Linked DNA regions of Tribolium castaneum. The protein of the gene in region 2 interacts with the protein of the main gene of each other region in a biochemical or structural test. Links are inferred from orthologs where the notes say so. Each region holds a gene or a part of one and is shown on either strand. Other genes may lie near its edges.

Region 1 (3,934 bases), about 5.6 Mb from region 2:
GGAGTTAAAGAATTACAAAAGAACAAAAAAATCTACTATTTTTGCTAATATTTCAAAATCTTTAAATTAGGTTTCATCAAAGGTTTTTTTTCCGTTGGTAATTCATATATCACGCTTGGGAAATAAAAATTACGTAAAACACACCACTTTTATCAACATTTTCCAACTTCAAAACGTGATTTAACTGAATTTTAAAAATTCCGTGCCCTGTTAAAGCTTGGTTTGTTAATTATTTGACTGAATGCAATCAGAACTGGTAACAGTACCACATAAAAAATACCAAAAACAATACTATAAAGTAACGTTTTGTAGCATTGTTTTTTTTTTAATAAAATTGTGTTAAAAAACAGGTAATTGGTAAATTAAAATTAAATGCGAAATTGAAAAAAAATTAATAAAATTACAAAGAATACAGAAAAATTAACCTTTGTGCCTTGCTATTTATTTCTGCAATTTGAAATAAATCAATTGTTGTAGTGGCTTTTTCGTTTATATAAGTAAGAAATGTATTATTTCAAACATATCCGTTAGAAACAAAGAAACATGAAGTGAAAATCTGAAAATTTTATAGGAGCAAAATTCAGCAAAAAGGCTTAATTCTGCAAATGATGCAAGACAAGGCAAGAAAACTGATTCAGTTTGTGTCCCTTGTTAATAAAAAGCTTCTTTGAAATCGAGACCACGTGTTTTTTAGATGTTCTCTAAAATTTTAACCAACTATCCTCCATCTCCCCTATGTGGAATGAACTCCTATGCACAATTATCTAGAGTGCTGATTTATTTAATATTGCCCAGATTTCATGCTACCTTGATTAAAAAGAAGAAACAGACAAAAAGGTTTTTTGAACGAAGATAAACCGTTTTTTTTTAAACCGGTGCCGGAACCAGTACTTGTAAATGAAACCCTATAATAAAAAAATGACATACCTGATAATGAACAGAATACGAACTTGGAAACACTGACTTTATCGCGATAGCAAATACAATAAAAATTTAACACTTTAACACCGAATAAAATTAAAACACAATTTCACGTGTAAGGACTTGCATGTCCCAAGAATCGCAGATGTCGCCCTTTTAATTTTCTTCGGCAATCATCGTTTTGCAACGGTTTACCTCTCCATTGATCTGTAAAATATAGAGCGCAAACTGTATCAAATTTGTTAATTAAATCATTTATTTTGCGGCCTAACAGCAAAATAAACTTACTTTAAATTAGCATAGTTGTTTAGGAATATAATGCAATGAAATATTAACGTAATCCTACAAGTATAATTTTATTGCGTAATGTTTCCAATCTAGAAATTTTTCACTTCTAATACATATTTTAGTGATTTTTATTTCCAAAACTAGTGCAAATTGCCGGCATTGAAAGCTGACATTTGGAGTGAAAAAGGCCGACAGTTTTTTAAATTTTACAAGAAGTTATTGTTGTGTAACACATAAAAAGCCTTGTTTTAAGTTTTTAATCGATAATGTCATCTCCCGCGCCAAAGTCGCCGGAACAAAGCGAAAAGAGCAAAAAATACGACCGGCAGTTGAGGTTAGTCAACATTGACCAGTCATTTTTCAAAAAATAAACGAAAATTATAGATTATGGGGCGATCACGGTCAGAAATTTCTCGAAAACTCAAAGATTTGTCTAATTAACGCCACCGCTTTGGGTACGGAAATTCTCAAAAGTTTGGTTTTGCCTGGCATTGGTTCCTTCACGATTGTTGATGGTGAAAAAGTAACTGATGATGATATTGGTTCAAAGTAGGAGTTTTAAAATTAAGGAACGTTGTCTGAATCAGTTGTTTTAGCTTTTTTATCGAGAGTGATTCAATAGGGATGTCTAGAGCACAGGTAGCCACTCAAAACCTACTTGAGCTGAACCCTGATGTTAGAGGGGACTACATTGACGAGTCCGTTGACCACATTATGGCCCACAGTCAAGATTTTTTTGACACGTTTTCTGTCGTAATTGCAACGTGTTTGCCAGAAAAGTAAAATCAATAGAAATGACGTCAGGAAATAATTGATCAAATTTTAGAGTTTTAATGCCGCTCTCTAGACACTTATGGGAAAAAAATGTACCACTTATTGTATGCCGCAGTGTGGGCTTTCTGGGCTACATAAGAATACAAGTCAAAGAACACACCATAATAGAAGCCCACCCTGATAACGAAAATCATGATTTACGCTTAGATAATCCATGGCCTGCACTTAAAGAACATTTGGATAAAGTTGATGTAACCAAACTAGACAACAAGGAACGCAGTCATGTGCCTGCGGTGGTTATTCTGTACTATTATTTGGCGCAGTTTAAAAGCAAACACGGTAAATTTCTGGTCAAAGTGGCCGTAATTTTGAAACAAAGTTGGCAATGCTGTTGTTAGGTTTTGTCAGATGACCATACTAACGATGTGCATTTGTTAGTTATGCTGCCAACTTAATTTTTAAGTCATAGGCCACTCTGATAGAGTTACTTGAAACCATGAAAGATTCTATACAGGGTGCTCAAGTCACGTACCAACTCAGTGGTACTGCAAAAATTCTGACTTATTTTCTTATAAGTTTGTATGTCTACTGAAAAATTCTAACAGTACTTGAATTAAAAAAAATTGTATAAACCTTGGGACTTCTCGATCGTCTCATTGACAACATCAAAACTGTTTTTTAAAGTGAATAAAGTCAAACATTCAATTTTTCTATAAAATAAAAAACAAACAAAGCTTGTTAAAAAAGTTTTCAACAGAAGAATCGCTCCTTGGGACCTTAAATACCTTGATAACATAAATTAAATTTTTTATTTGTCTTTCCACGTAGCGATTTTCTTGATTTTCGCAGAAAATAAAGCTTGTCACAAGGGCTTGCGGTCGTGAAAAGATGAAGAATCAAAAATCATTCTTTAGGGCTTTAATAATTTTTTTATTCAATTTGTTTCAACTAAACTAGTAAAAATATTGTTGTATTCTTCCAAAATACTTTCTACAATTTTTCACTTATAAATGTCCTAAACTTCCTGAAAGCGTTAATTTTTTCTTGTTTGGTTGAAATAAATTTAAATAGTCCAATTTTTTATTGAGTTGGTGCCCACGTTTTTGAGCATTCTGTATACAAAACTTAATTGTTAGGCCATTTACCGAAAACTCGAGCCGAAAAGGAAGAAGTTAAAAAAATGATAACGGAAAGCCCCCCGCCTGATGAACACGGAATTAAGAACTTGGAGGAGAATTTTAAAGAGGCTATTCGCTACATTAATACTTGTATTAACCCCATCAAGATTCCCCCAAATTTGCAAGCAATTCTGGAGGACGATAGCTGCATAAATGTGAACCAGAACAGTTCACCTTTTTGGGTTTTATGTGCGGCCTTGAAGGAATTTGTTGAAAAAGAAGGGGCGCCCCCTTTGAAAGGGACTTTACCAGATATGGCAGCTGACACCAGTAGCTACATCACGTTGCAACAACTCTACCAAAAACAGGCTCAAACCCAGTGTGAAATTATCTACAGGAGGGCGTTAGAAATTGCGCGAAATTTGGGCCTCTCTCAAGAGACCATAACCGAATCTGAAGTAATTTCCTGTTTTAGTGTTTTTCTGTATTGAATTCTTGGTTTCAGGCTAAGCTATTTTGCAAGCATGCGAGTGAGTTACATGTGATTCGTGGCAGTTGCATTGCTGATGAATATCAAAAAACTAGAGTAGATCTAACGTCATGTCTTGAGGATCCTGATAGTTTGATGTTCCATTACATAACTCTAAGAGGGCTAGAGCGCTTTATCAGTGAATTTAATAGTTATCCAGGGCAATTGGATGACCATGTGGAGCCTGATGTGCTTAAATTGAAGGGCATTATTGGGAAGTTGTTAGGAGAGTGGGGTTGTTCACAGATAATCAGAGATGAGAGGGTACACGAAGTTTGTCGCTACGGGGGCGCTGAACTGCACT
Region 2 (3,082 bases):
CTAGTAAGTAACGTGTTTAATTGTTCAATTTTTTAGATTTATAAAATAAAATTTCAAGGATTGGAACGTTGTCAGCCTGAATGGTATAATGCCCTCACGGCCAATTTAACCGAACAACAAAAGAAGAATTTGGTAGATATTTGTGTGTTAGCGGATCAGAGGAAAGCAGCCAAAGAAAGTAAAAGAATTGAACAATCGGGAGGTAAAATTATATGATAGTGTTGGGGGAATAACAAATTAATTTTGTTTGTCCAGGTTTTATGTTTACACAACATGAAGTACCCACAACTTTTAAGTTTGGCGCTCCAAAACCGTCATGAATATATGTGACGTGGTGTGTAAAATTTTTGTGACTGAATGTAAAATTGACTGTTAAGACCAGTGAAATGATGTACAGTTGGTAATTTAATCTTTTTTAATTTTTATTAAGTGCCTTTTTATTAAACAAAAAAAAAACGGATGTAAACGATTTAAATTTACCTAATATAGATTTAAATGGAAGTTTATTTTCCGTGTAATTGTAATTATTTTTCGACTGTGTCTCTTTTGTCTCATTTGTTTTCTTCTTTAGGGAAAGACAATGTAGTAAATTACATTATTTCTATAATATACTGAAAGGTGTTAAGTTATTGCATTTTAATAAAGAATTGCTTCGAATTTTTGTAGATTTTTATTATGAAAAATTATCTATTTTCTTAATTAAATCAGTTACATTTCACTGAGGAGAAATTACAACACACCGCTTTGTGGTGCTTTACGCTGGAGTGAGATATGATGATCACAATAGAACGATTGAGATGAAAAAGCCAAATAAAACAACATAGTGGTAGCTTTAATAAACGAAATTAGTAATTAGGTATGCAAGAATCACTCGAGTGTCCTCGTCAACGAGCATAAAACAGTAAACTTATAAATAAGTTCTTTACACATAAGAATCACTTGAGACAGCGGTCGAAATAAGTACTGCCAACATACCCTCCACGCATCGCCTTCTGGACGTTCTGCTCAAACAGCCGCCTGTTGGTCGTGAGCACTTCAGCCGCTTCCTTGTTCAAAGGATCCTCTGGATTGGGTTCAAGGAACAAATACTGCAGTCCATAGACGATACTGTTGATAGTCAGTACGGGCTTCCAATCCTCCCTTAAAATGTTCAAGCACACGTTGCCCTGTTGGTCGATGTTGGGGTGGTAGACCTGTGTCTCGCATTTGACTTTGGGGGGCTCATGCGGGTAATTGGGGCCCACTTTGAAACTGAATACGAACCTCCCTGTCTTGTAGAAACCCTAAACGTCCCCCCAATTAACCACAACCCCACACACTAATCCACAACTAACCTCATCCGGACAAATCACCAGTTTGAAAGACAGCAAGTCGTCCGGATCGGGAAACTCCGTCGTGCAGGTCTTGGGCAGGTTCAGCTCGTTGATATCTGCAAAGGGAGGGTCAAAATGGGGGCGCAATGACTCACAACCAACCTTTCGTAATCCTCAACTGGGCTGCAGAGGCTTTCTTTTGATTTCCTGGTCGCGGTGAGGCTTCTCCATCTTTTTTCTGTTGCTTCAGCGAGAATAGTTTTATCATATTTGGCTGGCGCAGGGGTGGTGAGGGGTCAGAGCAATGTAATTTACTGCGAGCACACTTTACAAAAACATGGGAAAGTCGAGTTTATTCGATTGCTTTTTGCAAGAGAATTTTTCACACATCTGTCAATGTCAAAACTGTCAATGGGACATGCAGGAATTTACTTTACCATCGGAACGAATTCTTAATGAAAAAATTTAAAAAATTCATTTATTGCTAATGCTAAGAATTTTTCTGCAAAGCACTTAATCAAAAGATCCAAATCAATAAAGCAGACCATCAGAAGACTATGTTCAAAGCTATTTAAATTAATTTATTTCGTGCCGTTGTTATTACATTGGTACTACTGGTGCGTTTGTCATCCTCTGCGGATTTTTCGCGTCTTGAGTTGTTGAAATTCGTAAAATTATTCTGTGAAACGAATTATTTCGGTTTAGGAGCGTTTTAGAACTGTTCGTTATTGTGTTTTTAGTTTGTGTATTAGTTTGTTGACCACCAGACCACAGATGAACATTGAAACGAATGTTTGCAGTTACTCAAAGGTAAGTGTACACATTTCTAATTTATTTGTTAATATAAATCCAACCCTAATATTTTAAAGCATCGTTATTGAAATTTTATACGGTACTACATTTTGACGCGCAGAGCAACTTTTGCAAAGTTTGGGCCACGGGTTTGAGCCGTCGCGTCGTCTTCGTTAATTGTCATTCAACTATCAACGCAGACGACGCGACGGTTTGAGCAATTTTAATTTTTTTACGAAATTATTAATTAAAAAATATTTTAGCATTTTGCCTAAAATATTGTAATATTTAAATTAAAATTGAGTTTTCATGAATATGGGGTTTGTTGTCTAAAGTGATAGATAGCAGAGGAGATAACCATCTGACTCATCTGAGTGTAAAAAACAAATTTAGTGCTTTTCTGAATTGATAATTTTCCAAGTTTCTTAAAAAAAATTGGAAATGCAGTCATTTCACACAAAGTCTCATCACTCATCACGTCATCAGTTATCACATTTTATGAGCTTTGAAAAGTACGACACTCTAGAGACTATTTTGAACCCAAATAAATATGGTCTGTAATGTAACCATTTTACAGACGACTTCAGAGAAATGGCTTTTCTAGTTATCAATCAATAATTCATTAATTTAAAAAGCTTGTATTTTTCGTTTATTAATATTGTTTGTTTGATCCTATATCTAATTTTAGGAAAAAAATTGTGTTAAATAAAAATTATTGTGCAATTATTCTTGCATATTATCTGCAAATAATATTATATCACATCAGTTCCTTTTAAAAAGCACCAGTCATTACATTTAATTTTTGATGATCCATCACAACAATTATTACGAATTAAATGAGACTTAGTCAAAGTAGATATTTTTCTCCATGCTGTTATGAGGTGTAAAAAAATATTTGGGAGCATATTGTAAATGTAAATCACGATGAGTTTGCATAAAAGAATAACAGTTTTTTTCCTAGATTATTTAACCTTCAA

What was found.
Region 1: of the proteins of UbcE2M (region 2) and APP-BP1, one has a biochemical effect on the other in vitro, tested with the Homo sapiens proteins (4 studies listed by BioGRID, with this or other methods). The link is inferred for Tribolium castaneum from reciprocal best matches to the Homo sapiens genes UBE2M and NAE1.

The regions. Positions count from the first base shown.
Region 1 is NC_087394.1:31,701,774-31,705,707, reverse strand, and holds the start of APP-BP1 (nedd8-activating enzyme E1 regulatory subunit), read left to right. Parts: upstream 1-1,343; 5' UTR 1,344-1,475; coding exon 1,476-1,543; intron 1,544-1,593; coding exon 1,594-1,758; intron 1,759-1,805; coding exon 1,806-1,988; intron 1,989-2,035; coding exon 2,036-2,322; intron 2,323-3,119; coding exon 3,120-3,559; intron 3,560-3,606; coding exon 3,607-3,934. UniProt on the Homo sapiens protein: Regulatory subunit of the dimeric UBA3-NAE1 E1 enzyme. E1 activates NEDD8 by first adenylating its C-terminal glycine residue with ATP, thereafter linking this residue to the side chain of the catalytic cysteine, yielding a NEDD8-UBA3 thioester and free AMP.
Region 2 is NC_087394.1:37,270,727-37,273,808, forward strand, and holds UbcE2M (NEDD8-conjugating enzyme Ubc12), read right to left. Parts: upstream 1,754-3,082; 5' UTR 1,582-1,753; coding exon 1,476-1,581; intron 1,430-1,475; coding exon 1,335-1,429; intron 1,284-1,334; coding exon 936-1,283; 3' UTR 656-935; downstream 1-655. Other genes in the region: msk (importin-7), read left to right, coding at 1-3, 59-202, 256-320.